4 linked regions of the Caenorhabditis elegans genome follow. The protein of the gene in region 1 purifies or fractionates together with the protein of each later gene. This does not show direct contact. Each region holds a gene or a part of one and is shown on either strand. Other genes may lie near its edges. The genes, in order: acbp-1, F46H5.3, lbp-2 and dhs-21.

Region 1 (7,397 bases):
ATCAGCTGAAACTTTTGTTTCTCGAAATTTTCGTTATTTTATTATTATTTTTAATCGAAAATTCATCAAAATTTCCCATCTCAACAGAGGAAAAACAGAAGAACAACAAAAAAACGAACAAAAATAATAAATAACAAGTGGGCGGAGCATCAATTGCGTGCGCCGTTTTTGCATAAAGTGTGTGCCAGGGTTGCAAAAAATCATTTTCGAAACTTCAAACTCATTGCACACATTTTTTATATTTTCTTTTTATCGGTCGCTGTTATTCCTTTATTTTTTTACATTTTTTAAAAGAAAATCAAATTAAAATTAACATTTAATATTTAAATAATCAACTTTTGGAAAATATACTTCGAGAAAATCTCAAATTCCCTAGTTTTTAGGCGTTCTAGGCCTAATTTCACCTAGTTTGATTATGTTCAGTTTAATTATCGAGCAATCAACTTCAGGAATTAGAAAACACGTTAAATGAGTTTTCGCATTACTGAAAGTCGAAGTTTGAAGTAAGATTTGTTCCAAAATGTTACATGCCTTGTTTCTTCTGTTTCGTTTTCGTTTCTGTTGTATTCTCTGTTAATTTGTATTATTCAGCAAGAAAATGGGTGAGACCGCTGCCGCCGTTCACGACGATGCTGATCAGAAGATCATTAAGCAATTGGAGTATTACTTCGGAAACATCAATCTTCCAAGAGACAAGTTCCTCCAGGAAAAACTCAAGGAAGACGATGGATGTAAGTTGTTTTTCTTCAATTCTAAGATTGTTGATTTTTCATTTCAGGGGTCCCAATTACCACGATGCTCAATTTCAACCGCCTAGCCTCGATCAGCAAGGACACTGAAAAGATTGCCAACGCTGTCAAGAACTCTGGTTCGGGAATAATCAGCGTCTCCGAAGACAACCAGAAAATCCGCAGAAACGAAGAGAATCCAGTACCGGAGAACTCGTTGGAGTACTGGCAAAAAATCAAGCACAGAACTGTGTATATGGTACGTTTGTATCTTTCTGATTTTGTCTTTACATTATCAATTTCTCATTTTTCAGAAAGGATTCAGCACTGACACCCAATTGGACGACATTATTCAATGGGCCAATCAATTCGGAGAAACCGAGAACGTTCTTATGCGTCGCTTGAAGCCAGGAGACAGAACCTTCAAAGGAAGTGTGTTCATCACTTACAAAACTAGAGAGGAGGCCGAAGCCGCACAAAAGGCTGAAGTTAAGTTCGGAGAGACAGAGTTGACCAAGATGATGCAAGATGAGTATTGGACTCTGAAGAACAAAGAAACCAAGGAAGCTCGTGCTGCAAACAAGGCTGCCAAATCAGCTAAGAATACTTCTGAAGCGATTGAATCAGAAAAGGCTCAGCACGCTGTCCGTTACGAGAAAGGTCTCATTCTGGCCGTTGATGGACTTGGACCTGATTCAACTATTGACAGCATCAAGACTTTCTTCAAATTGCACGGATCTGTTGGATACGTTGCACATGAAAATGGAGGCAAAACAGCCGAAATCCGCTTCAACAATGACAGCGAAGGAGCGCAGAAGGCCTGGGACAACGCTGTTGCAGCTGGAACTGATGGAAAAGTCATTCTTCAAGAGGCTGAGCTCTCCGCACGAGTTTTGGATGGAGAAGAGGAGGAGAAATACTGGACAGAGTTCAATGCCAGAAAGAATCAGAGGCAAGGAGGTGGACGTGGAGGACGCGGTGGTCGTGGCGGACGAGGAGGCCGCGGTGGTCGTGGAGGTCGTGGTGGAAGAGGTGGACGCGGAGACCGCCGAGGTGATAAGCGGTCAGCAAACGATGAAGGTGCAGATGGATCTGATGAGCCAAAGGCTAAGCGTACTGTGTTCGCTGAGGATGGTGCTCCAGCTGCTGCTGCCGCCGAGTAATTTCATCTTTTGTTGAACAAACCCAAAAATCTCATTCTTTTTTTTTTACTTTTTCCTCCATTTTTTGTTGTTATCATTATTGTTGTGTTGTCCCCCCATTCATTAATCTTGAATACCCTCATTTTGTTGACTTCTCACTCTTTTTAACATCTCTTTTACTGTATTATTACCAATTTAAAAGAGTTGCGGTTTTGATTTATAAATTATTCGGATAAACCAAAGTTTTAGAGTAGCAGACCGGAAAAAAAGAAATTGCAGATCACTCGGAACAGGGAACATGGAAAATGCATTCTTCTGAAAGTTCAAGTTTGCTGATCAAATAGGCAACTTTATGTCTAAATTCTTCGGAATCACAGAATCTTCATTACAAAAATATAAATGTTAAAAAAACGTATTATCAAACAGAATTTATTTAGGCTCCGTACTTGGCGATGAGCTCCTCAACAAGAGCAACATAGGCCTTCTGAGCATCATCCTTTGCGAGTCCCTTCTTCTCATCCCAGGCAGACCACTTGGCTTTTCCCTTCAAATCGAACATTCCTGGCTTATCGGTGGTGTTGTCGCCGACGGTTCCTTGTTTGAACAGAGCATAGAGCTTGAGAAGCTCATCATTCGATGGGGAAGTCTTGAGGGTCTTAACGGTGGCAGCAGCGTCGTCGAACTGAAAATTGAAAAGACTTAGTGAGATTTTATTGGGAAAATATCAACATTTTGCTTCAAAAAATCTAAAGTAGTCTCAAATTCAGAAAAAAATCGCCAAATTATAAAAATGTCTCTTTTTCAATTTTGACTAAGTTCCCTCCGCTATTTTGAAGGGAATTTGCCAACATTGAAAAATCACGGTTTTACAATTATTGCTTTCTGTTGTTGTCATTATTCTGAATTTGAGATTATTTTGGATTTTCTACATCGGAATTTGAAGCTTACCGAGAGGGTCATTTTGAAGACGATGAGAAGAGCTTGTTGAAAGTTTGAACCTGAAAATTAAGAGATTTTAAAATAATGAAACATGAAAAATAATGATGAAAGGGCACTTTGTATATTGTATTTATCTTGACGTACACAACCACGCACTAGAAGTATACAGTCAGAAAAACGGACACTCTTATCATTTGTTATCACTAAAAAATCGTATCAATTTTTTGAGAATACAACAACGTTTCGTGGTCAATATCAAACTATGTGATCACACCATCACAGAAGAAGGACAAAATATGAAAATGTTTAGAAAAAAGAAAGAAATTTTGGCAATTTTCAGTTCTTTTCTTGAAAAAAATTATTAACTTTTGATAAGACACCGATGGTTTTAGCAAAAGCGTTATTACCTAATCGCCAGCAATTGTTAATTTAAAAATACGGTGCCGGGTCTCGAAGCGACTGAAACTTCACAGCTACAGTACTCGCATGTTCAACAACTGCATAGTTTTTGCAATTAAGTGAAGCTGGTGGGTACTGTAGCTGCAAGGTTTCGATCGTGCCAAGACCAGGTGTCGTGTTGTTGCGTCGAAACTCGCAAAATTCTGCAATTGAGTAATAGGAAAAAGTTCGTTTTTTTTTTTGGGCAAAGAAGGATTTTTTTTTGGTTTTTCGATCTTAAAAACTCTTTAAAAAATTTCAATTTTTGGTCGGAAGGAAGAAAAATTAGATTTTTAAAAATATTTTTTAGTTTTAATAGTTTTTTGGTGAAACTCTTGATCGGGAGCCCTAAAAACAACAATTTTTGATATAAATAATGGAAAAATGGAGGAAGTTGAAATTTTCTCATTGAATGAGCTCCGTATCTTATTAAAAACGGATAAAGGCCACAATTTTTAGACTTTCTCAATTTTGTTGGAAATAGAAATTTGACTACAAAACTATAAAAACTCCAAGTTTCACCCACCAATAATAAAATTGATTTAAAGCCTAAAAATAAAAAAACAGATTGAAATTAAAAAAAAAAAGACAAACAAACAAAGGAAGAAAAACATCAAAGATAAGATAATGGGAATGTGAACCCAAAAGAAGAAAGAAAAAATGTTGACGAAAAAAGAAAATCCAAAAACCATTTTATAGACTTTTTAAAAAAGCAAAACCTGAATTTCAATAAAACCGGAAAGAAACTTAGACACGTAGAGAACTTAGAGAAATCATTACTTGGTGACGTCATGGAGAGCTTTAGCCAAATATGCAACATTTCCAGTATTAATACCAGAAATAGAAATACGTCCATCATTTGTCAAGTACACTGAGTGCTCTTTGATGAGCTTTTGAACTTGTTTCTCATTGATTCCAGTGAAACAAAACATTCCAATTTGATTGGTAATATGATCCCAGTTGAGAGTAGATCCTTCAGCTTTCAGGCCGTCTTTTAGAGCCGTACGCATTGATTTGATACGGTCAGCCATTAGTTTCACATCTTCCAGCCTGAAATAATCATTTTTATAGATTTCGTTTTTCCAATATTTCAAAAATAAAAAAGATCCATTTTTTTGAAAAATAGCTAATTTGCCCATTATTTAAATATTTTTAAAAGCAAATTTTCGGCAACTACAGTACTCTTTAAAGGCACACACTCTTTGGAATTTTAGAAAATCAGTCGCTTAGAAACCGGTTTTTCGCAAATCTCATTTTTTTTGGTCCAAAATTATTTTTTTCAGTTTCTGATCTTTAAATTTCTGACTTCACAAACTCAGAAACTCCTACCAAGATTTCTTCAACTCTGGATTACTCAAAATCCGTGAAGCAATTCTTGCTCCATGAAGTGGTGGCATTGAGATCATTGGACGAATGATAATTCTCATTTGAGATCCAACACGAATCGCTTCTTCAGCAGAATCACAAACAATCGAAAATGCACCAACACGTTCTCCGTACAATCCCATATTTTTTGCAAATGATTGAGCAACGAGAACATTGTGTCCTTGTTCTATGAAATGACGAAGAGCAAATGCGTCATCGTCAACGTCTCCTGATGCAAATCCTTGATAAGCCATATCGAAGAATGGAAGAATTTTTCGTTCTTTCAGCACTTGGCTCAGCTTTTTCCATTGCTCCTTCTGAAAATTCAATGAGTTTTGAAAAGTTTTATTGAGTCTTCAATTTAAAAACTATTATTTTTGTTTTAAGTTAGTTATCTTCACAATATCTACAGTGCAAAATAAAATATTAGGTGAGATTACGGTATCTCGTCACAAAATAAGTTTTTTAGCACTCGAAATTTCGCGCTAAAAATACGGTACTTGGTCTTGACACGAAATTTTTTTTTGTTAAATGCGAAAAGGTATGCGTCTTTGGATAGTACTGTAATTTTAAACTTTCGTTCGCATTTTAATGAATTTTTAATACTTTTTCTGAAGATTTGTTAAGCATTTAGTGCTTCTATTTTTTGTTCGCTTTTTTCAATAAATACATTTTTTTTAATGGCAAAAAAGAAAAATATTTGAAAATTCCAAAGCGACTAAAGTTTGAGATTACAGTACTCTTTAAAAGCGCACATCTTTTCGCATGTAACAAAACGAATCTCGTGGCGAGACCGGGTACCGTATTTTTGGCCCGAAATAATAACAAAACAAAACATCACAACAAAGCAACATACAGTAGGATCAACACCAGTTGGGTTATGTGCACAAGCATGCAAAAGTATAACAGATCCTTCTGGCATCTTTGAAATATCTTCGAGAGCTCCTTCAACATCAAATCCAAGAGTTTCTTGATTGTAGTAACGGTATGGTTGAATCGAAAGACCAGAATTTCTGAATAGAGGAGGTGAGGGTGAGAAGTGGACAACAAGCAACAGAAACAGAAATTAACAGGGGAAAAAATACAACAAGTGCATGGAAATTTTGATTTTTTGCTTTACGGAAAATCAAAAAATCGAAAAGTATGGTTCTTCGATTTTCTCTTCAAAAAAACCCGATTTTTTTCCTCGATAAGAGTGTAGCTTCTTTGGAAAATCTAAAAACAAAAAAAAACATTTTTTTCGAAAACTATTTAGCTACAAGTTTTTAAAATTAAAAGCTGCAAATTCTTGTTAATTTTCAATTTTTTTTCGATTTTTTGTTTTCCCGAAAATCGAAAAATTTTCGTTTTTCGACTTTTCGATTAAAAAAAATAGATTTAAATTTTTAAAAAATATGATTTCCGAAAAATAAAAATAAAATTTTAAAAAATTTACCTAAAAACTGGCAAATGATTAGCCCAAGTTGGTGTTGGATAAAACAAAGTCTTGGATGGAATAAACTTTTCCACAAATTGTCCTCCAATTCTCAAAGCACCAGTTCCGGATATCGATTGAGTTGTGAAGACTCTTCCATCGCGAATCACTTCGGAATTGTCGCCGAAAGCGAGTTTCGCAGCCAATGGCGCAAATTCTGGAACTCCAGTGATTGTTGAGTACTCTTTGTCCATTTTAGCATCTATAATTTGCTGCTCAGCTTCGCGGACCGCTCGGAGCACGAATGGTTTTCCCTGAAAATAGAAAATTACAATAATTTGAATATTAAATCGAGGGTGAGACGGCAATCAAAAATTTTTGGACATCGACATGAATCGAGTTCAAAAATTTTGAAAAAAAAAACTCAAAAAATTTTGCAAAAAACTAATTTTCACTGTAGTAAGTGTTTTTGGTGAAGAAATATAATTTTTCCAACTTATTTTCATCAGGGCTGTGACACTTTTGGTATTTTATTTGGTTTATTTGGTTAATCGACGAAAAATTGATTTTTTGGTGTTTTAGAACTAAAAAACCAAAAATTGTTCACTTTTTAACGGTTTAAAAAAAATTAATTCAAGCATCATTTTTTTTTGGGTTTTCGCAAATTTTAATTTTTTTTTCTTGGTCCCAGACCCTAATTCTCATGATGAAAATTGGATTTTTGGCAGAATTTTCCAAAATTCCGCAACCGACACTTTCGACAATTGCCGAGTTTTAAAATTTTCGACAATTAGCCATTATTGCCGCGGCCATTTTTTTGGGTTTTTTGTTAGAATATTAACGAAAATCGTATTTTAACACCAAAAAATTCAAAAAACTAACTTTTTTCACTTTAACCACTTTTTTTTTGTGAAAAATAGAAAAATGTGGGTTTTTTTAGGTCTTTAATAATTTTTTCGAATACTATTCATATTTAATAAATATTTTTCTTTTTAATGCTTTTTTGGTTTTATCACCGGTTTCAATTAATTTTTGGTCCGAAATTACAATTTATTTAATTATTTAATTGCAGCCCTGAAATTCCGGCCACTCGTTTCAAAACTTTTTTTTTTTTAATTCTAGAATAAAAAATTCTGAGCATTTCCCCCTTACCTGATCATCACGATATGCTCCAACTCCTAAATTAATCTTATTCGGATTCGTATCCTTCTTGAATGCTTCAGTAACTCCTAGAATTGGATCAGCAGGCGCTAGCGGCACATTTCTGAACCACGGGAGCACTGGTTGAGCAGTTACAGTAGTCGTTGACATGAACCTTCTGAAGAATGCCAGCATTTTCTGTGTGCTGACAATTTTAATTTAAAATCAATA
Region 2 (9,179 bases), on another chromosome or scaffold:
GACTTTCTACAAAAAAAAAAATCAAACGATCACTTCTGAAAGCCTAGAGGCCTGACAACAATGGCTTGTTTACAGATGTACATCATTGCTGATAACGCTATTCTTATCTAGAGTTCTTCAATACAATTCCAGATGTTGAAGTGTTGAAGTATGTCGTTTCACTCAGATTATTTTACCCTCAATCTGCACAAGAATGCACATTGTCACTTGGTCTCAGTTTCAGATTTGCATCATCATGCCATTCTCTTTTCTCCCGAGGGTAACTTGATCCGCACAAAAAGTCACACAATTCTCGGTGTAATATTGGACAACGAAACATAGGGCTGTAATGACGTGGCACTGGTCTTCTGATTGTTGTCAGTGTGAAACAAAAATGTATTTTGTTTCTGATTCGGTGAATCATCTATCAAATGTGATAAATTGAAATACTATGAAATCATGGAAAAAAATGTTCTTAAAATGTTGATTTTTGCAAATAGTGTCACCAAAAAACAATTTACACAGGATAATCGAAATCTAGGGACAGTCAGTTGGCGATGTATCCAGGAGTTTTGCAGTAATTGTATTGTGAATGTACGATCCACACATCGCTAACGAAGCCGGGCACAACAGAGCGACTCGAAATTAAGCCGTTTTCTGACTTGCGAATTGTGTTAGATCCTTAATTCGTGCTCACGGAGCATTATGAGACTAAATAAGGAATTGAAAACCAAGTCATTTCAGTTTTCAGACAAGTCTGTCGTTCATCTGCAGTTTTCCTTTGATATTGTAAAAAGTAAACTCTTCAGCAATTCCAGTTGACTTGACCGGAAGCAGCTGTTGACCTTACTACCCAAATAGTGATAGAAACTGAAAGATGTATAACATCTGACCAACAGTCGTTTTCCTCTTTCTATTTTCCTTCAACTGTTTACAAAGTGCGCGAGGTCAGATAACGGCTGTGGAGAAACGGCATCTATCCAATTGTGATTTGATGCCGTGCACGTTGCCCTGACACACTTTCCGGTAGAATATTAAGTTACAGTTCTGTCCTTGTACTTTTGATTGCCTTTCTACAGGTGTGTACGTGACCCCAAACACTTCGCGACTGCACACCGTTTTTTGCAATGACCATCAATCGGGAGAAGGCCACGTACAAGCAAGAACATACAAACATGTTACTACTGAAGCTCACTTTCTTGCTCTCTTTCTTATTGCTTCCCGATTTGTAACACACTTTCTTCTCCCATTTCACTCGGTTTCTCGGTTTAGTGTGCCGCGGAGGGCGCCGCGCGTTTTTTTTGCCTTCTTGCCAACTGCCACATACGCACACAAAACACATTGGATAGAGAAGAAAGTTGTTTGCCAGTCGGATCTACGACTCCGCATCTTGCCTAGTGTCTCGGGAATTGAGAAAGAGCATGAGGTCCGCGAGGGGCCTTCTGCCATCATCCGCGGCGCCCGTCCTTCCTTCTCCCCTTTCTTCCCATTCATAAATACTCGGCAAATGAACTTACTGAATTGAGAAAGAAAGGCGGAAGACAATTGAAATGCGAGAGACAAAGAGATGCAGAGTTCGAGCAGGAAACGGTTTGGTTTCTGCGCTGTGCATGGTGGTTGTGTGGGCTGTGCGTGCTGGAAAGATATATCAAATCGTGGATATACTTGAATTGACGTGGCAAATAAATGAAAAACTGTTTGTCAACAGTTGATAAGTGCTGAATGGATTTGATATCAGAACCTATAAAATCTCTCAGAACCTTTCAAATGTCTTCTAAGACTTTGTGAAAGATAATGATGAATAACTTGGTAGAAAATAAAGAAGTGGTTTTTGAACATCAGTTCTGATTATTTTGATTACAAGAAATGAACAATGAAAATGAAAACTTATAACGACAGATTTCCAGAAGAAAAAAAATATGTTGAGCCTGGATATGAACAAAAACAGATTACTTTAGCTTCAGGTTGATAAGTATCAAGGTAAAAATAACACTGCCAAATATTCGTTCAGATTTGGATAAAATTCAGGTATTCGTCGTCTTGGCAACCATTGTCCCAAATACGGCTTATCGAATATATTTGAATGTGCCACTAATCACAACAAGGATTATCTATTTTCACGCCTCCTCCCCACGGTTTCATCCTTTCATTTTGGAAAATAATACTATCTGAATAAATATTTTCAATTGCCTCGCTACAAAATTAAAAAAAAAATTGAAACACACACACAGTTATGCGCTGTTGAAAAAAAACATTATAACCTCTATTAATAAACGCACCATTATTAATCTTCGGGGGATTTTATTTCTTTTGTGTCCTATGTAAAAATGTATAATTCACAACAAACTTAACCTTTTTCTTTTATTTCTGTACTGAATTATTATTACTACAATTTCAAGATGTGCCGAGGTGAAAAAATACTATTAAAGTGGGGTGTGCAAAACTGAAAAAGGTAATTCTCGATTGGTTCGATTGCCAAAAATTATTAAGTTTCAAACATTTTGCTTGAAACAAGCACAAGTTGTATGTTATGACAAATCTGTAAATTTACCCATTATTAACTCGAGAAGCAAAAGTAATCAAAGTTAAAAAAAAAGATTTTTCAATACTTATACACTTTCTCATTTCAATTGTTCGAAAAGATATTTACTTTCAGTTACTCGTTAGATTTTCCACTTAAAAAAAAACACACAAAAAATTGAAAGGTGTGCAAAAGTCCAATTTTTAAAATTTTGATTTCTTCTCAAATCTCGTGGCATTGAATAATTTTTTTTCTGTACTTCCATAAAATAATTAGTTTGTGAGTGGCTTGCGATTCAGCATTTATCGCCAAAAACAACTTGTTAGACTTCACTTGTTATGCATATCTACATGTAGCCCTGCTTTTTATCCAGCCGACACATCCATATGGAAAAATTGAAGATTTTTTCTGCGTTCACCCACGTTACTTTTAGACTGCAACAATGTGTCCGAGAGATTTTTGAAAAGTCTCATAATGGAATGCACCATTTTCAGACTATTTTTTGTCTCTTTGAGCAACAATTTCGAACGGTTCTTCTTCCTCTAAATAACAGGTTCATCATTTCTCGTGTTATTTCCTGGTTCTGGGTCGTTTTCTTGTTTCTTCAGTCTAGTTCTTTGACCAACGACAATTGACACATGGGTAATTTATTTCTCTTCACTTTTTTCCTCTACTCGAATTGACACAAGACTCGGTGGCTCACGCAAACGCTGGATATTACACAACAATTGTTTTCCGGCCATCGGAGAGTATGGCAAAAAAATGTTGTGAAAAGAAAGAAAGTGGTAGCCGACGAGGATGAGGTTCAAAAGACTCTCATACCGCCATCTGCTATTTCATTGCCGTCGAATGCCATCTGTTCCTGCTCTCATCGGCATCCATCTTTCCCGAAGTTGCCGAACATGCTTTACACAGTTAACCTCTATCGGCCAAAGGCTCACGCAACGTTGTGATGAGCCAGTAGAAAACAGTCAGAAAAAGTGATAAAAAGGGATACGGGATAAGAAGTTACATGAGAAGACAGGAAGATAGAAGGAAGGTTGATCTCCGCGTAATAAAACTTTGAGTTTTTCCGAGTTATTTGAAAATTGAATGATTTGGGGATTTTCTAAAACAAGAGAATTTGGAAAATACATTTTTACAAATTATATTGAAAAGTAGAAAAATAGAACATTTAACTAAAAATTTATAATTTAGACAATATTCAAGTTGAGAAAAATGTTTTTAAAAAATGGTGGATTTTATCAAGATAATTTAATTCTCAATCTAGACATAAACATCAACCTACTTGTGATATTTTTAGCTATGAACATAATCACCAAGCTTTCCAGAGTCTTTTTTTCTATTTTACAAAGTTTATTTCACTGCATTGATTGCGCGAAATCAAAATTGGAATAAACTCCAAAAATACCAGATTAACAAACAAATTATGTATCGTGTCACCAAATAAAAAACTATTGTTGCTGGAATTAAACAAAAATATAATTATTGAAATAGGCTCATACCTATTACAGTTGGTTCGAACGAACACAATGTTTTTTTGGGAGTGTAAACAAACAAAAAGAGCCATTAACGTTAATTTGAATACTGAAAGTATATTTTTGTCAGCAATCGAATAGACATTGTGCAATGGGAATTTGACTGCGTTTTCATTTGCAGGTGTTTCAAAATGTTATATATCAGACAAAAATAAAGTTGCCTTTTTACCTTTTGAAAAGATTTTTGATCAACACATTTTTTAATGCAAAACTTTCATATTATTTTTCTGCGAAAAAAAAACAAATGTCGAAAAAAAATTTGTTGAAAAATAAGCCACACACAAAGATGGAACACATTGAAAACACTCAGCACACATGCGAAGCCTTTAATTAAAATATTTCTTGCACATTCTCAATTATTCGTCATTTTCATTTTTATCTCAAGTCTTTCAATTTTGCAAATTTTAGACTCCAAGTACTAACACCTGATTACTTTAAAAAAATATATATTTTTCTAGTGGTGAATATGGAAATGTGTTTTAAAGTTTGAAATTTTTGAAAACGTGTAGGACGTCAGTTTGAATAGCACATTTTCATAATATTTTTGAATATTTTGATTTTAACTTTTTGAAAAAAAAAACATTTAAATAAAAGATATAGGACAAAAAACTTTTCTGTAAATTAATTAATTTATCTTGGAAAAAATTAGATCTTCAACAAACTTTTACATTTTCCAAATTTGTTTGTTTGTTGATTTTTTTCTAAAGTTAATCAATTAATGCGCAAAAACACTATTTTAAATAAAAGAGGATGGAACTTATTAATTGAATTATTTGCTCCTTACTTGATTGCTGAGATTTCAATCAAGTACATAGTTAGAGTACTGCAAAAATTGTGCCCGAAAGTATATGTTAACTTCTTTATAATTTTTTCATAAAACGCCATATTATGTATTGAGGGTAGTTGTCAACGTGAAACAAAACCACTGCAAAGTACCTACCAAAAATTGTGACAATACTCTCGAGCATCGATGTAACATCTTCTATTGAAAAATTTAATTCGGAAAATTGAGAAAAAACAACCAATTATTAAAAATTAAGTAAAAAAACTTTACATATTGAACAAAAGTTATTTGAAATCTGAATTAATATTAACCGAAAATATTCATTCACATCATGGCAATGCCAAAAGTCCCGAAAAAATTCAGAATCTTCACAATTTTCTAAACACAATCTAGTGAATAGAGTGGTTAACTGCATAAGTTTGAATGGAGTGGTATGTAATACAAACAAGAAATAAAGATACAAAAAATGAGGAGAAGTAAATGGAAACAAAGTTGACAGGTAAGAAAAAATAATTCAATTTAAGTGATCAAGGGAATAATTATTATTCGACAAAAATAATGTTATTCTGTCCGCCCAAACCGTTTGGCACCTGTTGATAGTCGCTCGACGTCGCCCATTCGCCATTGATCATGAATCGGAACTCGTGTCTAAAATTATTACTTGAAATTTGTGTTTTGAATTTGAATGTTGTTACCTTCCACGCGTCAAATTGACCGTGACTCCTTTCTTGCCGCTAACCAGTTTCTCGCATTTCAATGTGCATTTCCAGTTGATAAAACTTCCCTGAAAAATCAAATGAAGACCTATTTGGCAAAAAAAAACTTACCGTCAAGTAAACTTCCTGCTCTGTGTTCGAAATGGTCAACGTTACATTTCTTCCTTCGTTAGCTCCCCCAAAAATGAATGGATTGGCTCCGGCGAATGGCAGGGCTGAGACAAGTGGGATGGATGGGATGGCTCCGGTGAAACATGGCTGGTTACTTCCGCTGCAAATACTTGGAATAGTGATATCAAGAGAACCACTGGTATAACTTACTTGGCAAGGTTCCAAGTTCCTTGGTTGCTTTGGCTAATGGTGAATCCGTCGGTGGGAATGGTCATGGTGCTGGAGTGACTCCTAAATTATTGGAATTTCGATTTCGAATGAAATATTGCTTTGGATGAGGAACACTATATTCACACCGTCAAATACACTGTACACTCGTTTCAATTTTTAAAAATTAAATAAGAAAAACAAAACATAGTTAGTATTGTTTTCAATTCAACTACTCCGCAAATTTCAGAAAAAAAAATATAAAGTGCATTGCTTTCCAGACGTTAAGTTACAAGTAGTTCAATAAAATCTGTATTCCTTACCTCACTTCCTGTATTAACCTAAAAATGAAATATGAAAAAATTCTTTAAAGTTTCCTATCTGTTATTTTGAAAATTTATTCAGTTTTTGATTTTTATAAAGTCCTTTTTTGGGTAATTCTAGAAAGTGATCAAAGATGTTCATGCAATTTTTCGTTTTTATTTTTATGTAATGAAATGATTTACAAGCGCCGTTTTTGATATTTTAAATTCATGAAACATTCAATCTCGTATTGCTCTGACCCCAACTCCAAAGAAAACTCACTGATCATTAAGGCTTTGAATCTTCGAGTTTGCCGTGTCAAGCAAATTTCTCTGTAGGGCAACAGAGGATTCCAACTCGCCGACCTTCCACTTTGCATCGTTCCACCATTGGGAGAGCTCACCGAGACGCCACTCCAGCTTGCTCTTCTCTTCGTTGATCTCCCAGACACGCTTCTCGCTGTCCTTCAGCATTTTTTCAGCGTGTGAGGTGTCTGCTCTGGCCCTGAAAGAAAACCCTAAATTAAAAATTGCTTGTCATTTCAATGCCTTACTTCAATTGTTCAGTGATTCCCTTCAAATATCCGTTCTCCTGTTCCAACTTGCCGACACGTTCGTTCGCGTACCAGTTAGCCTCCTGGAGCTGTTGCTTCTCAGCCTCAGCTTGACGAATTGAATTGTTGGCCAAGCCGAGTTTAACCTCTAGTGCTCTGACGGCGGTACTCTTCACTTCTTCATGAGCGTCGGAGTTGAGTTGATTCTCTAAGAATGTTACCCTAAAATAATTTTTTTTCCGATTAACTCTTGAACTTTTAAATGTTTTACTTGTCTTTTGCGTTCTTCAAATAATCTTGATTCTCGGAGAATTTGGTCTCAAGATCCTTATTTTTCGATTCAACAGTGGCCAACTTGTTTCGAAGCTCTTCAATGACATTGTGCAAGTTGCTGAAAGAACTAATTAAATAATAACGTGAAATGTGCATTTTGATTATCATACTTGATTTCTTCATCGTGATCCTGGGATCGTTTCTCGTCGATTTCCGAATCAATTCGAACGAATTTCTCTTCAGAATCAGCCGATTGGGCGGATTCCAACTTTTTCTCAAGATTTTTGACTTTAAGTTGAGCGGCTGACAAGTCGGATTTGTATTCTTTCACTCTGTTAAGTTGAAAAATTAAAAAAAAATTTAAACATATTGAGAAATTAGGGTTATTACCTAATTTTCAGCTCATCATTTCGGTTTCTCAGCTTTTCCAGCTGTCGGTCGTTCTTTTCCTTTTCGGAGTCTCTTCCCTCGCTCTCCTCGCTGATATTCACATTTTCAGGCTGAGCATCAAACTGGCTTCTTGGCTGATTTTTCTTTGAAGTACTACGAGCACGGGTCTTTCCAGCTGCATACACCTTTTGTGACCTTCCACCAAGTCCCGCGGCAGCTAAAATAATGCAAATTCTCTGTTTGTTTCAATTTCGCCGGTCAAATTTGTCACAAATGTACCACTCGGAGACCGACAACATGTTTACAAGTTTGAATTGGACAAAAAATGTCAGATCGCTTTTGAAGCATTTGGAGATTTCACAGTTTACACAGCTGCGATCGTGTTTTGATTGAGCAGGAAAAAAATTAGCTGGTACTTCAAAACTGTTACAAAGCTATGCACTTAAAAAAACACGAAATACTACTTTGGCTTGATGATCAGATTTTTATGTTACTCAGTCAAATATGTCAAAATTTCAAGAATATTAAAACCAATATTTTGAATTGGTAGAACATTAAACAAATTTTATACAGTAATCCATTTTAAATTGCCAGCTCTGGAAAATAGTGGCAACTATTGGGGCAATAAAGAAAATTTTCACTGTTAACGGAAAATTCGTTTTTTTTTTTGAAATGGGCTTCATGTTTGGATTTGCCCCATGCATGATACTCATTCCTAAACGATTTTGCGAATATAGGTCTTTTTAACCCCAAATTCCACGTAAACCAAATAGAACCAATTACCGAAAAGCTTCTGCACAGCTGAAATGTTCTTTTCAAAGGCGTCATTGGCCTTCGAATAGTCGGCAAAATGGGTTCCGTGGCGTGATCCGTGTGCTGCAAGAAAGAAAAACTTAGACACCGTCGCAAATTTATGGTTCTTGTTTTCCAATTAATGTTTTCTCTCGTATCGACAAGTCGTCTCTCACCTAAATGGATAAAAATCGGCACTGAATCCCATCCGTTTGGAGGTGGGTACACCTTGCCGGTGTTGTTGTCGAACCTTGAAATAGAAAAATGTTAAACGTTTTGTTGACTGACTGACTGGAACTTTGGATTTGGATAATGCTAATCGACAATGGGAAAGCAGCAAATGTTGTTCTAATATAATCATATTTCTGCGCGGATTGTCTATTTGTAAACATGTACATGCATGTTCTAAACCGGTTTCGGATTATCAACTGATTTTTGGGAAAATTGTTTACGTTGACCTATCACTTTGAATTAGACAATTCACGTTTCACCTGGTGTTAGGGTTAGGGTTAAAAAGAATTGTAAACTTTGATAAGACATATATACACAGTCATTTTTCATTTTGATGGAACGATGGCGCGCGCAATTCTTTTGTGTTGATCTGAGAACAAACGGTCGAGAATATAATGACTAAATTGACTACGGCAGGTGGCGGTTTCTCCTAATTGGTAACCCAGTGAACCGTTTAAAATGACGGGTATCGGAAGTGACACTTTGCAAGGACTACATCACTTACAGGAGAGCTTTTCTCTCTCCATCATCTCTGTAGTAGAGTCCATGTGCTCCTGGGACCACTGATTGGACGGTGGCAAAGTTTAGAGTGGCGTCCTGATCATGGCTCACTTGAACTGGCTCAATTTCGAGACGCACCCAGTCTGAAACAAAAAATTTGTTGAAAGTGGTATTCCCTACAACGTGTAATATCAACATCAGTGGTGAACCTACTTGCATCTGGGATTTTGGTAGCAACATCCGCCATTCCCCCTGAAAAGAGCAGAAATAGCGATCAGAT
Region 3 (7,366 bases), on another chromosome or scaffold:
TTTCTGGGATTCATAAAGCATCGAATATCGAAATCTCGGAACTCGTCGCAAATCGATTCAGTGCAATAGTTGTCTTTGTTTATTGCGAATTCATCAAGTTTTACTCGATTTAAAACATCCAGTAAGTGATCAACATACTTTCGTAATCCCATGCTCGGAATGCTCATCCAAATCACTCTACCAGTTGTTGAACTTTGGATTTTCAAATGCTCTCCGTTTCCGAACTTTTTCATTTTTTCTGGACCGTCAATAACTCCGTTGTGGATAAGTTGATCCATAAAAAACTGGGGATCTTCGACCGGAAGACTACGATGCATGTTGGAGAAAAATGTGAACTTGACTCGATCGTGGCGTTGGGTGACTTCGAATTTCCAGATTTGAACTTCCACAAAATCATTAATGTCTATTTCAACCACAGAGACGTTTCGATGCAGAGATTTTGCAAACTGTTTTGTCTTTTTCGAGACAAAAGAGAAATTCAATCTGAAATTGTTTAAATTTAATTATGATAAAGATAATAACTTACATTTCCAGAAGATCGCAGTGTTGAAGTGTGCATCGGAGAGCCTTTGAAGGTAGTTGTAAAATATTCATTACAGCAGAATGAGCAGTACAGACAAAATGACGGAGAAGGTTGAGTGGACGAAAGCGAGTGGAAGAAAAAAAGAGCAACTGACGTAAGACTATCCACTACTGTGCAAGATGACTCTGACGTACAAGGGAAAATGGACTATTCTGAATCGATATTAGGCAGCTGGCTTGTGGAGTATGGGAAGACACAGTTGACCACTGGAAATGCTAACCCGCGTTACCGTGAGTTACAATAATTCGTTGTCTACGTGACAATCCCTTTGCACGTAAGATATGACTAAAATTTCTCATTTTTAGACATATTCGTAATACATACAGTTGCAATGCAAAATGAAGACAAAGAAAATTTTGAAGGTAAAGCATTGTAAAGGAATTTTTAAAAAATGTATTTATTGTAGCAAGTGCCAAAAAATGTATACTAGCTTGTACGGACGTTTTTTTTTTTTAATTGATAAAAATATATAAAAGCTGATTTTTTCAAAAATTCAAAAGTATGGGAAAATCATATGGAGTCATTCTTTTTTATTTCATAAAACTGTTTAGCATAGTCAAAAATACCAGAATATGCTAATCAAAGTATATTAGCTTGTACGGAAGTTTTTTTTTTTAATTGATAAAAATATATAAAAGCTGATTTTTTCAAAAATTCAAAAGTATGGGAAAATCATATGGAGTCATTCTTTTTTATTTCATAAAACTGTTTAGCATAGTCAAAAATACCAGAATATGCTAATCAAAGTATATTAGCTTGTACGGAAGTTTTTTTTTTTTAATGATAAAAATATATAAAAGCTGGTTTTTTTCAAAAATTCAAAAGTCCTGGAAAGTCATATGGAGTCATTCTTTTTTATTTCAGAAAACTGTTTAGCATAGTCAAAAATACCAAAAAATGCCAATCAAGTATAATAGCTTGTACGAAAGTTTTTTTTAAAATTACATTTTTAGCACATTTTTAGCACATTTTTAGCACATTTCAAGCACATTTCTAGCACATTTTTAGCACATTTCAAGCACATTTTTAGCACATTTTTAGCACATTTTTAGCACATTTTTAGCACATTTTCAGCACATTTTTAGCACATTAATGGCACTTTTTTTTGTATGATAGAACATGTAGAATATAGGTGCTAAGTGATCTTTATCTCTGCATAAATAATTGAAACAAAATTAATGTGTAAAAATAGTAGAAAATTTTTTTGGTCCACTTTCAAAATTATGAGTGGCAATAACGGAGTCACTTTTCAACAGTAAATGAACAATTTTCCAAAATTATTGATATTTGGTCCTTTTGGCACCATAGGCGTAGTTTTTTGCCAATTTCCCACTGGTGCTACTCAACGTTTAGATGAAATCACATAAAGAAAACGACAACTGTAGTTTAAATAATGGTTGTTGCAGAATTTGGCAGCGAGATCATACTCTAGTGTTAAGTTTCTTACCTCAACATGTTCATTTTTTAATCTGTAGAAAATTAAAAACTAATAATTGGGATAATACATTCCACCAAGATTCCAAATTGAAAACATCAGAAGATTGCTTGAAAATAAATTTATTTTTTTCGGAAATGAAATTGAATTGCAAATTTAAGAAAATTTCAATAGAATAAGTTTAAACTTTTATGGGAGTCTCTTGTAGAATCTGCGGCCTTCGATATTGTTGAAGCTCATCTTCTGTAATTAACAAAAATGTATGTCAAATAGATTGACCAAATTTTACCTGAATAAGAAAATCTCCATCAAAGTAATACTCATAGGTTTCTTCCTTGGATTCTCCCTCTTCAAGTGGCTTGTGATGTTCGAACAAGTGTCCGTCCTTGAGAGTGAAGGTAACCTGAAAATTATAATTGAAATAAAAATAAAATAAAAAGTACATGGCATGGAACTCACCTCGTGCTTGGTGTTATCAAGACCCTCTCCTTCGAACTTGCTTCCGATCTGGACGTTTTTGTAGAACACATCTTTTTTCGATGTCAAGTTGGAGTAGTCGAAGAGGTTTTTGTTAGCATTCTTGGCAAAAACCTTCTTGAATGTCGCAAAGGTTACAAGCTTTCGAGTGAACCATCCGTATCCTTTGGCAGTGAGGTACTCATCAAAATTTTCAGAGTGATCCAAGTCGAAGGTTCCATAGAACTTTTCTGGAAGCTGTTCGGCAGCCACAAGGGTAGCTCCACAAAATGCGAGTAAGATGAGGAATTTCGAAGACATTTTTGTTCAAGTCAATGACTGAATGACTGAAGTGTCCACAGAAATGAAGATTGATCAAGACTCCGCCCAGTTGCTCAATCGACAACACAATAAAACTGAGGTCAGCCACGTGTGTAATATAGGGTCACGGCACGGATGGCAACAACAAATTGATGATCGGACTTACTTGATTTTCAAAAATCCTCACAACACCTGGAAGCTAATAATAAACAAAATTTAAGAGACCGAACGAAAACAATTCATCGATTACTTGTTGAAATGCAGAATGAATTTTGTCGAAATAAATTTAAACGCGTTAAGAAAATTGAAAAGAAAACTGCTACGTTTTTTGACTGCACATCAAACAATTTAAGACTTAAAAAAATATTTTTAATGAGGTCCTCAAGATCCAATGATTTTAGTTATTAAACTATGTATTTTGAGAAATGGTTCTTATTTAATGGTACCTTATTCAGAAATTAAATGTGAAAATCAGGAAAAAAAAAATAAAAAAGAGCATACGAAAGAGTAGAAAAAACTCCATTTTATAGAAAACTTTCGAACACAACATCGAAAAAAAAAAACCGAAAAGTGATTGGATTTTGACCCACCCGAAATTTTAAACTGGTTGTGTCCTTTTTGTGTTTTGAATTACGTTTTTGCAAATATCACGGCGCAATCGAACTTTCATGTTTTGATTCCAGCATAGGTTCAATTCATCTGATAATTTGATTCTTAATTTCAAGTCTTCAATGTGCAAAATTTTCTTTTTAACACTTGTGTCACTTTTACACGTTAACAAAAATTCAAATTTTAATCAACTTTGCTTTCTAGAACTCCTAATATGTACATTTTTAAACCAGTGAAAACATTTCCCAAACAAAAAACTTCAGAGGGCTATGCAGCATGAATCACAAAAGAACCGCGTTATTTTTCTTATTTTTTGCCCCATATCACATTACAGAATCGATCTAACTTTTCAGTTTATTTGAAACTTGAAATACATCAGTGGCAAAAAAAGTACATTGAGAAATCAATTCATACAAAAATTACAATAGTTTCTGAATATTTATGGGAGTCGTTTGTAGAATCGGCGTCCCTCAACTCCATTGAAACTCATGCGCTGAAAATTACAATCATGAGAATGTGAAATTGGTTTTTAAAAAATGTTTATAACTTACCACAAGAAGGAATTCCTTATCGAAAAGGTACTCGTAGGTCTCTTCCTTGGCGTCTCCTCCCTCGAGTGGCTTGTGATGCTCAAACAAATGTCCGTCCTTGAGGGTGAAAGTGATCTGAAAATTAATTAATTAATCAATTTGAAAGGTTACTTGAAAACTTGCAAAAGCGTACCTCGTGTTTGGTGCTGTCAAGTCCTTCTCCCTGGAAGGCTTTTCCAAGTTGGACATTCTTGTAATGGACGTCTTTCTTTGATGTCAAGTTGGAGTAGTCAAAGAGGTTCTTGTTGGAAGTCTTAGTGAACACCTTTTTGAATGTGGCAAAAGTGACAAGTTTACGAGTGAACCATCCGTATCCTTTAGCAGTGAGATACTCATCAAAATTTTCGGAATGGTCCAAGTCAAAAGTTCCATAGAACTTATCAGGGAGAACAGCAGCTGAAGCAGCTCCAACAAGAACCAGGAGAAGAGCGATTTTAGCGCACATGGTTGGCTAGGTCGATGAATGAACGACTGACGTCTTGGCAGGACTGTGGGCTGTGTGTCGACGTCGTCTGCGTGGACCCCGCCTACTTGCACAGTCGTAAACAACATTGTACGGCAAGAAGTGCAGCCCACATGTCGATTGCGCTGACGATTAGCAGAGATGGACGGCTGGACTCGGATGGGTATCGAAAGAGAGTGTAGCATAAATGATTCGGGGCAGATTTTTTTTGTTCCGTGTGTTGGGGTCAGTTCGGATATTTTTGAAGAGAGTAGTTGCATGAATCGGGTCCTGGAAGACCGAACAATCAACTCAAAATAATTTCGTTGAAGGTTTAAGGCGAATCGAATTGCAATTTCCTTATTTGGTTGATATAATTTTATGTTATCATTATCTTTCATAGTCTATAGTATGATTCTCCATTTCTTCAGCAAACATTGAATACGGCAACAGGTCTTCAGGTCTGCAGTTCAAAACACAATCCATGCAGGGCTGGGACTTTGGAAAACCAAAAAAAACTACCGGAAAAAATTATGAAAATTTTTATTCATATAGAATTCGACCCACAGAAAAAGAAAACGACTTCAGAAAAAAAGTTTTTTTGCCGCAGAATTTCGGTACATTCGGTTTTGGGTTTTTTTGGTTTCAAAATGAAAACGAAAAAATATTGTAAGGATCCCATAAAACACAATTTTTCAAAAATATTTTTAAACTTTCAACACTAGCTAAAATTTTTAAGACACAAAATTGTTTTTTTTTCTGGTTTTCAAATGTTTGAGCCCTATTCCCAGATGACAGAATTCATATTAGAGATCATTGTTTTCCAGATGGCCTTTCCCGTAAATTGGCCAATACGATTCTCACGTTTTATTGGGCTACAATAGACCCATCTACTTTGTACCTTGGCTAATCTGTTCTATGTCCACTTTCGATGTTTGACCTCCATCTGTTCATTCGTTTTTTTTTGTGAGATCATGCAATTTTTGAAAATGGCAGAGCAAGTCTAAAGGGACAATTGTTTATTTAAAAGGACAGAAAAAATAAACATCTGTGATTAATAATGTGAAGAGCTCAGTTTTATGTTGTGTTTATAATTTCTACTTCTTTCCGGTCGATCGCTTGAACCAACGACGGCACGTGATTCCATTGTTGACCATTTTCTAAAAATGAGAAAATTAGTGGAAGAAGTTGTAAAATGGAAAAAAGGAAAAGAGAACGAAGTACACACCATGACAAGTTGATCGTTCTCGATAGTGTAGTAGTACGTCTCCGCGCTGTGTTCTGGGTCGTTGAGTCGGATATGGTGCTCAGACAAAACTCCGTCTTTGAAGGAGAAGGTAATCTTAAATATAACAATATTTTTAAGACACTTGAATATTTTTTGAAACCTTGTGTGCAACTCCATCAAGGCCTTCTGCCTCGAAAGTTTTCCCGAGCTCCCACCCGTGGTAGAGTGTATTCTTCTTTGAAGTCAAGTTTTCCATGTTGTATTTTCCAGGAGTTTCATTTTTGGCCAGCACCTTGCTCACTTTTGCCAATTTGATCATTTGTCTCACAAACCAGCTCACTCCTGTAATTAAAATTACTATTAAATGTACACTATCAATTATTTTTACCTTTAGCAGCCAGGAACTCGTCAAAGTTCTCACTTCTGTCGAGATCATACTTTCCAAAAAACTTCTCTGGAATTTCAGAAGCCGCCTCAGCCATAATTGCTAAAAAGCAAAAGGAGAATAAAGTTAAGTACAGATTCATGACGAGTAAATGTATGAAGAATCGATTGGTCGCAAGAGCAGATGGACAATGATTTTATCTTGGGGGTTAGATCTATCTATATTCTTCTTCTTCACTTGATTTATTACATAGGCCCAATGGCTCGGTATCATTGAGATCCGAAATTGTGAGCATCTGCCTCATAGCCCTATGCTTTGAGTGTACTCTGGAGCACACAAAATGCACAAAATATATTACATTGGAATTTGGAAAGATTGGAAAAAAGTTAGAAAAAAAACAATTAACACAACTGGAGAATAAGAAAAAACAACTAAAATAAAAGGAAAACACTCTGCTATTACAACTAATATATTCAAATAGAACTGACAAAACGGGATGCGTAAGAAATGATAAGATGAAGTAGTGGTCGGACAGTTGTTATCAGTGTTGTTCTGCACCATCATCACTTGCATAATATGACTCCGCGCAGAACGGTCGGAGAAAACTGATAATACATTTGGTTAGCACACAGAAGTAGCAACTACATACAATTGATTTATGACGGTTAGAGGTTAGAAATAAAAATTGAAAACTGAGGCTGGAGAAAGCTGATCAAACAGAAAACTGTGGAACGGGGGAAACGATAATATGAAGAAAAAAATCCGCATTCCAAAAGCTAAATGTATTTCTAAAAGATTACAAAAACCAAGGGTATTCCTGCAAATTTGTCTTTGAAAAAATGGAAGAATACGGAAATGTGGTGCTGAAACGTATAAATAAAACGAATAGAAAAGGAACGATTAGACACCTGGAAAAACCGAAAGTCGCTGAACAATACAATTTTCGTAAAAGGACCGGTTTAGAACATTTTCAAAAAATTACTAAAATTCGAATTTTTTTCACTGTTTCTTTTGCCCTGTTTTTTATTGGTAAGTCTGCATTTTTAATAATTTTTCCATTGATGATAATTCTCCTTGGAATTCCAATTTGAATGGTTTCCATGAGCGCGACAGTATTACAAAATAGAGTTTTTGTATTCATGATATGTACAAACTCTGTACGTTTATTCTATAACATTGAATTCCAGTTATACTTAGAATGTTTTTTGCAACATCATATTATCTTACACTTACACTATCTTACACAGCTTGAAAAAGTACTGAAAAATCCAATTGAACTTTAGATTTAAATATTTATGTTTGATTTCAAAGTTTTAA
Region 4 (8,510 bases), on another chromosome or scaffold:
TTCACCGTCATTTCCTTATTCTCTTCATTTTGTATCATTGCGAAATGCCGAAATTCTTCTCTAGAATGCCTTCCTCAATTTGTTGCACAAACTGCAGAACTAAATATTCATTATTAAACAGAGAAGTTATTTTCTGGCATCAAAAACTAATTAATTTCTATTTTTTCAGGCCGGCTGCTCGAATTGTGCTCTCTCCTTCTGTAAGAAATGTCTGCCTCATCGTGCAATTATTCCCACACTTTCGGATTTACCAATGATTGTCTGTAACAATTGCTATCAAAAATTGGAATCTGCCAAAATGAAGCCCAGCGCGACTGTAAGAAAAAGAACAAAGTAAAAACTAAATAGATATTAATCCCACGATTTTTTTCAGATAACATCAACGCCTCTACCAGATAATTCGAATAAATCGAATAAAAATTGGTGGGGTGATGGACTTCCACCGCCATCATTCAGGAATTCGCACACAAATCAAAATCAGATTAAAAATAGTGAAGTCAAAGCAACTAAATTCAGGAATTCGCCAGAAATTCCATCGCAGCAGACCAAGGTAATTAGCGTCACGGAATTTTCTTAATTTATTTTTCAGTTTTCAGCCAAATTATCCGACCAATGACCTGGAACAGCGAAGACTTAAACTGCGAGAAGATATTTCACCACAAATTGAACCACTCAGTATATCAGAAATTGAAGAACGATTAGCAAAACTTCGAGAATGTGATGTAGAAGTGATACGTAATCCTCAAAGTGTAAGTTGGACAAGGATGTTTTTAATTAAAAATGTGTCTTAAATATAGAAAATTACTTGATTCATCTGAAAATATAATTTTTTCAGTTGAAAATTTAAAAAAAAGTGTTTAAAATGACCTTAAAGTTACAAATTGCAGATAATCAAATTAAAGAGCTCTGTTTTCGGCAATTAACAACTTTCAGACCGTTTTCGTGAATTTTCTCAAGCGTTTCAACTGAAATACATGTTATTTTCTTTCAAACAAAATAGTTTTCTATATTTTGACACTAATTTTTATTGTAAGATTTTAGAAAAACATTGGCCAGTAGGTCGTTTTGTAGAGTTTCCGAAAATAATTGCCGTCCACCTCAGAAGTTGATTTTTTACGCCTAAATACCATTTTTAACATTTCAGTGGCTAAAGTCTTCTTCCAAGGAACCTGCGATGAACGCCAATAATCCATCTGAATTAATGCGAGTAGCTGAAGATCGTGCAAGAATTGAAAAAAAAGAAGAGGAAATGGAACATAAAGACTGGGATGAGCTTGAAGCAAGACGTAGGAAAATATTTGAAGATGAAAAAGAAAAAAATAGAGAAGATGATGCTTCAATACGAGAATCAATGGTTTCTGCAAACACAGAGTTTAGTGAAGCAACGAAAGAAGAAATGAATGAGATTAATAAGTGAGTTGGTGAATTTTTTATTTGAAATTAAACTGAAATACAGTTTTTTTTGAGAATTACAATACTTTTCAATAAAATTCAGTCAGCAAGCTGTAGAACTGGGACCGAAAAATTCGAACCAAAAAAAATCAAACAAAATTTTTTTTGGATTCGAAAATTGGAACTTTTTACAAAAACTGAAAACCACAGTTTGCTAAAGAACATTTGTAAAATATGAAAAGTGTTTAAAATATAGAAAATTAGTTTTTTGGTGTTTTGTCACAAAAACCAAAAAAAAAAACAAATTTTCGTCGAAATATTACAAAAATAAACAAACCCCAAAAAAGTACTAACCCTGCTGTAGACTTTTAAAGTTTTACGCATATTCAATAGTATTCCAGTATTCTTCAAGACGCAGAACAACGTGTAGCTGAAACCAAGAAGCAAGAAGAACATGATGCCGCTGAACTCAGAACTCTCATGAAATCTAGTAAGTTTAAAACGAAAATTTGAATATTTCTTCAACACAGTCTTTTACAAACCTTTTTACTGCCAGCTTAATTTCTTAATTTTGCTACAATTTCAGCTCGTCAGAAGTCTCTTGACGCTATTCAATGGAATGATAAGATCACGAAAGAAATTGGTGGATTTTGGGATCGAAGAAACGAAAAATTATCTGTAGATGAAGATGAAGATGAAGACGAGAAGTCCTTAGACGAAGAGACTTTCAAAAAGATTCTTCACGAAGCCGAAAATTCAGAAGATCTGCCTCCTCAAACTTCGGAATCAAACAAGGCGTCAACACCGAGCAACTCGAGCTCACCGAAGAAAAAGGGATTATTTGAAAAGTTGTTCAGAAAAGATTCAAAACAATAGTAAATATTATTTATCTTTTTTCTATGTATGTTAAATTACGAGCTTCTTGTAAATAAATGTATTTATTGTTCACCTATATACATCGTCTCAATCTTAAAATTAAAAACTTTAGTTATTCGAAAATCCTCCATCGACAGGCAAAGTGGATCCAGTAGTCATTGAAGCATTGTCTGAAAGAAGGAAAAGGACAGCATTCACAACTTCGTCAACCTCAGCAAAACGTTTGATCGGCATTCTGTCGAGCATCTTCTTCTTCTTATCAGGATCACTCCAGTTCTAAAAAGTCTAATTATGCTCTCTTTTCAATTTGAAAATTATTACATCTCTTCCCATATCAGTCATCACAACAGTTGGATTGACACTATTAACTCGAATATTCTGGGATCCCAATTCATTTGCAAGACATCTTGTGACCATATCAAGAGCAGCTTTTGATGCACCTGAACTTTCAGATGTACATTATTTCAGTAAAGTTTTAAACTAACAATAAACAGTGTGATTATCCAATGGACGAATGGCTGCTTGTGATGAAATATTAACAATTGATCCTTTGATTTGTCTATCCACAAAGTTTCTAGCAACTAATTGTGCAATGAGAATAGGTCCCCTTACGTTGACTGCAAATGTTCTATCAATTGATTGTTGAGTAATTTGTCCAATTGCATGATTTGTTGCAATTCCAGCATTATTTACAAGACCATGAATTGGGAAATGTGGTACGATAAGTTTGAAAAGGACCTCTTCATTGGCACTCACATCTCCAACAATTGGAATTATTGTATATCTCTGAAATATTAATTTAATCAGATTGGTGTAATATTTTATATTTTCACTTACCAAAGAAGTAGTCTCTTTGACAAGACTCAACAAATTTGCTTCATTTCTCGCGAATGCAATAACCTGCGCTCCAGCTTTGGCCAACGAAAGGCAGATTTCTTTTCCAATTCCTGCAAATGTGATAAATTGTGATGTATGATTCACAATCACCCCATCGGAAGTCTTCATGAACGATTTTTATTCTATTTTTAGCTTTGTTCGCGTAATATATTTTTTACCGACTAGGAAGGATGTACTCTTGTTTTCAATGCCAGAAATTTCCTCAAACATAATCGTAAAATAATTATAATTTTCAAACGGAATGATAAAATGTTGATGATACAACAAATTTTTGATTAAAGATTATAGTGTTATCATATTATCGTATATCAACGTTTTCCTCTCCATTTGAACTAGATCATAATTACACCGGAAGTAATCAGAGAGACCATCGGTCTTTTATCACATTGGCCTAAATTTGAAATGTTAAATTAATATGGATTAAACATTTTGAAAACTTAAAAAGTACAAATCTTCATGAGATTTCAGAAAACTGATTCAGTGGCTCCAAATGTTTAATGGTTTTTTTTAATTGAGCAGATAATTTTTAACATTTCCTTACTTCAAACTACAAATAAACTTATACTAGACCAGGGAAAACCTGGTCAACTTCAATTCAAACCTTGCAAACATATCTAAACTCAAAACATAGAACAATCGTCGGAAAAGAGATTTGACGTTTTCCGTGAAGTTTTCAACTATAGGTCAAAAGTTGGGCAATAAGTTGGCACCAACTCCGAGTGGTACAAAAACTTATCTCAACATAACTTTCTGTCTAAATATCAAGTCTATTTCCTGTAGTGAGCTATCTCAATTTCATATTTGTTAAATGGAACCCAAAACAAGTGTATTTGGTTTGTATTGAAACAACCCATCTTAACTTTTTCAACATCTCAAGACTTACCTTGACTTGCTCCTGTGACAAGTATACGTTTGTCAGTGAAATCGTAATTGGCGGGCATTGTTTCGTCAGATGATATGAATATCAGAAAATGTGTAGTATCTACCCCATTCTACCCAACACGATCAACTTTTATATTGTGACTATTTTTGTTATCAATGCCATTCCTCTAACAATCTGCGTCCAATTGTGTATTGATGATCGTCATAATGGTTTCTATTTCGAGATCGACAGGGAAAACCCTTTCATTTTGCAAAGTATGTAACAATGAAACTATTGAGCACCGAAACAATGTACACAATTTTCTTTAAAACGCTCGTTTCAAAAAATAGTATATCATAAGCAGCAAAATCGAGTACTTTGTTTTTGCTGCTTATGATATATATTAGAGGATGAGTTCAAGAGCAAAAATGATCCCAAAAGTTCAAAGACTTGCAAAATATCATACTTTCCTGGTAGTTTCAGGTACCATCAAACGTATATGTCCCACTTAACATTAAGCTCAACCTTCCGTAAAAAGTTTGTTTTGGCTAGCTTCGTTAGTGTCTCCGTCTTAATTTTTTTTACATCAACAACCAATTTCAATATCACAAGATCTGCGTCCAAGAACAGCTGAAACTTCGTGACGAGTAACCATAGCAACATGGCATTTCACCTGTTCAATCTAGCCACTCAACTCGCCACATTTCTTATTCTCAATCTCAGCTTCAATAAAATCCCAACTATTGAAGTGATATAAAGATCGTGTAACCATGTCGACGGACATGGACCCAGTCCCGGGTCTTCCTTTACTTACCACTCTTTTTTGTAATTCAACAACTGTGAAGAAAAAAGTGAAGATAAGCTGTGATTTTCCTGATGAACTCTACACAAAGAAAGCATTTTACGGAGGACCAATTGGAGCTGGACTCTCCGCAATTGAAGTTTCAATCATCGCAGTTTTCTTTCTGCTTTCTTTGAAAATGAAGCGTGATATCACGAAGGTCTTTCTGACTATTGTCTACATTCCACTTGGACTGTCATCTCTGTTCAAGATTGCACTGGCTATCTACAGTATCATGCTTGGAGCTTATGGATGGTGGTACATGGTTTTTCTGATGTTCTTCAACTGGTTTTACACTACAGCAGTCCTCACTACATCCATTGGATCTGTGATTTTTCTCTCGGCGTTGATTGTAATTGCAAGGAAAAGACAAAACTTTAATCCTTGTGATTCATGGTAAGAAAATGGTTAGAATGACACAGCAAAAATCTTGAATAACATTTTTTGTTAAATGAATAGTTGATGCCTCCGATATTTTCCAGGACATCTTACTTTGCTGTGCTCTTCTTTGCTGCTATACTCTCTGGTTCATATCATTTCATCGCATCCCAATGGAACCCACTTCCTGCTTCTGCACTGTTTTTTACCTACCTTTTGTGCACAGTGGGAATCATTGCCGAGCTTCTAGTGGTAATCTATTTTTGATCTCTAAAGGTGGACATCAGTGCCCAGTTATACATTAGTGAGGTATTAAACAAAGTGTGAAAAAATCCAAAGAATAGTAGAAAATTTAACCGAAGCCAACAAGTGGTGTGATCCTATTTAAAGATCGTTTTCAGTGTAATTGTTTTGCACTTTACTTCTACACCCCTACACATATCTATTGACAGTAATTCAACAATTCCACCTTCAAATGAAATTTAAATATAGAAAATCAAAAATGTTTTCCAGTGCTTGTGTGTTGGATTAATGTGCAAACCAAAACCAGCAGCCGGAACAAACATGGCAGTTCTGACTGGTGATCCAGTTGTCGATGATGCACGTAGCCGTCTTGGTTTTGGAGCAGCTGCTGTAATTGTAATGAATATTCCTCAATGGTTTGAGTTTTGTAAGTTTTTGCAACTGAATTGAATTTTAATTGGTTTTATCGTATTCTTTTCAGATGTGAAAATCGCCGAACTTTTCGCGCCATACCTTTGGAACTCGGACGATGAAAAAACTGTATACTACACTGCACTGGCAATTCAACTTCTGACATTTGACACTGTTCGTTTGTTCATGAGCCTGTTCATGCTAGTTGCCTTCTTCCTAACCGTTTCATCAAGATTTGCCATTGATCAATGGATTCGTCGTCAACATCACCCAACTGGAAATCCAACCGCCACACAGAACAAGGTCTTCATCGCAACCCAAAATCAACCATTGCTAATGGATACCGGAGAGAAAAAGAGTCCACCACCACCAACACCTCCAAATCCTCCAGTTAATCATGCTATTGCTCCAGTCGCTCAACATCCTCAACCCATGCCAATTCCCCACCAAGTACCTTCGCCAGCTCATGGTGCAGCTCATGGTCATCCACAAGCTCCACCAATGTATCCTGGAATCGGATTCGCTCCTGGTATGCTTCAACTTCCACAAAACATGCAAACAACAATTGTCTATACTCCATCAATGGCATATGATAACGGACATCCTGCAGCTCAAGTGAACTAAGAGCTTAAGAGTTTTAAGTTAATTTGAATTTTTCATTTTCACTAAATAAACTCCCTGTTAACAAATTTCAAAAGTTAAAATGAAAAACAACTCCGGTAAATGCATAATTACGACAGTAAAGTTATGATTTAGAACTCATTATAACTGTTTATTATGTGTGTTTAGCTTTTTTTTTAATTAGTAAAAACTAACCCTGTTTAATGCTCTCCCTAAGTATCACTTAACATACGCCAAAAGTACTCAATTTCCTAGAAAGGTCAAAATGCGGAAAAAGAAAAGTACACATTTCTCAGTGTACACTCACTTTTGCTACCTATTGCAACATGCTGGCACCGCTTAGCTAGCGGTTTTCCTCACCTCCGTGTTGATAAACAAAGAGTGCAGAGACAGTGGTCAGTACCTGGGGGGCAGTAACTAGGTACTTCCCCCCGTACTTCCTTAACCTACAAGATGGAAAAATGAAAGAGATGAGTGAAATTGAAATCTGAGAGAGTAAATGAAAGTAAGAGAGAGTGATCGAGCAAACAATGGACGCGCCAGTCGCGGCCGCGGCCATGGCTCTCTCAAGTACAGTGAGGATTACTGTCCATTCGAAACGAGAGAGGTGCTTTCCTTTTCTAGGCGGGCGGAGATAGTCAGTGACGTAACACGCGGTGTCCGCGCGGAGTTCGGGAGGTAGATGGTCAGGGCGTGACCTCACGAAGATCGCCCGTGTTCCCGCACATATCGCATAGTCTGCGTGGCTGCACGAAGAGCTCCGTGAAGAAAGAGATGAGCACGACGGTGCCTCTACATGCTTCTTCCTTTTCTTCCGGAACAACCGGAGCTGGAGGCGGAGTTCAACAAGCTCTTCAACTGCAACATTGTGCCTATCACGTTGGAGCATCGGTTGGCAGTAGTGGTTCAGCACTTAACAACAATTCAATTAATGTTCCTAATAATAATACAATGGGAATGTCTTCAGCAGGAAGCTCTAATGGGAGCAACTTAGTCAATGGCCAGCAAAGGTGAGTTGTATCTAATTATATCATTCCACTTCAAACTTTATTTTTCTATCTTTCTTCTGAAAACTTTGCTAAGTTCAATTATCAGTTCAACCATCCTAGAAATCCTAGATCCTAGAAACTCATCCTCCATCCATGCCATCAGTTTTATAGTTTCATAATTTTGCTCAATAATTTTGCAGGGGTTCTATTTTTCATAGTGGATATGATTAGGTTTTGACTATTTAAAAAAGCTGACAGTAATTTTCAAAAACAAAATGTTTAGATGTCAATTGTTCAAAGCCTAATAATACCATTTTGAGGAATTCAATATTCACAATAAAGTGAAGAAACGGATATTACTAGGTCTTCCATGCAATTTAAAAATTCTAAAAAGCGTTCCAACAAGGCAGCCGTATCTGGTCTTAAATTTGAGCAGTGAATTTTTTGCAAAGTTACCCCTTACAGTATGATTTTTCATAACAAATTAAGTTTCTCTTCTGTTTATTTTTCTATTTATGGCATGCGTGTAAGCAGGAGAGTAGGTATTTTTAGGCCTAGTTGGAAGATGTATATAGTCCACAATAATGTGGTCTAAAACTTTTCTTATGTTCGTCTATGTCTATGATAAGATAATGATTTCACAATTAATCCCAAATTTTCAAAAGCTCAAATTTCTTCCCGGATATCTTACAAGTTTCGAAACCTAACCAGTTCTTAAATAAACATTTTCAATTTCTTGTCTCCCTTTCACCTCCCGCTAAAGGGTCATCATGTTCTAAGTTTGACCAACTTCTTTCAAAGACCTTTTTCTTTCCGCGCGGAACTTTCCGTGCTCCGCTCTTTTTCCGCACGGACACTCTGACGTCACGTGTGTGTTGAAATGAAATAAGGTGAATATCCCACAGAGTCTGTATATTTAAAAGTAAATATGAACGAACGGCTGAGAAAATCGGAGAGAATGAATTAGCAGAATTTACATATTGCGCCATAAAAAGACAAA

Evidence for each region.
Region 2: the proteins of acbp-1 (region 1) and F46H5.3 fractionate together in Caenorhabditis elegans (co-fractionation; one large-scale study listed by BioGRID). This does not show direct contact.
Region 3: the proteins of acbp-1 (region 1) and lbp-2 fractionate together in Caenorhabditis elegans (co-fractionation; one large-scale study listed by BioGRID). This does not show direct contact.
Region 4: the proteins of acbp-1 (region 1) and dhs-21 fractionate together in Caenorhabditis elegans (co-fractionation; one large-scale study listed by BioGRID). This does not show direct contact.

What each region holds. Positions count from the first base shown.
Region 1 is NC_003279.8:4,633,512-4,640,908, forward strand, and holds acbp-1 (Acyl-CoA-binding protein homolog 1), read right to left. Parts: upstream 2,869-7,397; 5' UTR 2,831-2,868; coding exon 2,819-2,830; intron 2,553-2,818; coding exon 2,304-2,552; 3' UTR 2,235-2,303; downstream 1-2,234. Other genes in the region: ssb-1 (Lupus La protein), read left to right, coding at 599-731, 779-987, 1,043-1,891; got-2.1 (Aspartate aminotransferase), read right to left, coding at 4,024-4,297, 4,577-4,929, 5,469-5,625, 6,048-6,340, 7,179-7,361. UniProt on the Caenorhabditis elegans protein: Binds medium- and long-chain acyl-CoA esters with very high affinity and may function as an intracellular carrier of acyl-CoA esters.
Region 2 is NC_003284.9:7,233,646-7,242,824, forward strand, and holds the start of F46H5.3 (putative arginine kinase F46H5.3), read right to left. Parts: upstream 5,018-9,179; coding exon 4,979-5,017; intron 3,401-4,978; exon of another isoform or gene 3,257-3,400; intron 1-3,256. Other genes in the region: F46H5.7 (AMPK1_CBM domain-containing protein), read right to left, coding at 5,365-5,470, 5,518-5,606, 5,650-5,809, 5,860-5,940, 6,180-6,197, 6,442-6,663, 6,713-6,934, 6,984-7,103 and 6 more.
Region 3 is NC_003284.9:3,256,231-3,263,596, reverse strand, and holds lbp-2 (Fatty acid-binding protein homolog 2), read right to left. Parts: upstream 2,988-7,366; 5' UTR 2,796-2,987; coding exon 2,478-2,795; intron 2,422-2,477; coding exon 2,308-2,421; intron 2,262-2,307; coding exon 2,208-2,261; 3' UTR 2,127-2,207; downstream 1-2,126. Other genes in the region: fbxb-71 (F-box domain-containing protein), read right to left, coding at 1-483, 527-594; lbp-1 (Fatty acid-binding protein homolog 1), read right to left, coding at 3,844-3,897, 3,956-4,069, 4,128-4,439; lbp-3 (Fatty acid-binding protein homolog 3), read right to left, coding at 5,534-5,596, 5,665-5,778, 5,825-6,006, 6,053-6,191. UniProt on the Caenorhabditis elegans protein: May play a role in sequestering potentially toxic fatty acids and their peroxidation products, or it may be involved in the maintenance of the impermeable lipid layer of the eggshell.
Region 4 is NC_003283.11:12,729,456-12,737,965, forward strand, and holds dhs-21 (L-xylulose reductase), read right to left. Parts: upstream 4,191-8,510; 5' UTR 4,107-4,190; coding exon 4,049-4,106; intron 3,216-4,048; coding exon 3,106-3,215; intron 3,055-3,105; coding exon 2,754-3,054; intron 2,709-2,753; coding exon 2,590-2,708; intron 2,545-2,589; coding exon 2,377-2,544; 3' UTR 2,312-2,376; downstream 1-2,311. Other genes in the region: zfyv-19 (FYVE-type domain-containing protein), read left to right, coding at 66-125, 170-316, 374-550, 597-749, 1,145-1,413, 1,794-1,882, 1,979-2,268; xbx-9 (XK-related protein), read left to right, coding at 4,798-5,264, 5,351-5,498, 5,760-5,916, 5,971-6,524; PAS domain-containing protein cky-1, read left to right, coding at 7,296-7,531. UniProt on the Caenorhabditis elegans protein: Catalyzes the NADPH-dependent reduction of L-xylulose, D-xylulose, L-(+) erythrulose, D-erythrose, D-threose, L-ribulose, 1,4-dibromo-2,3-butanedione and 2,3-heptanedione.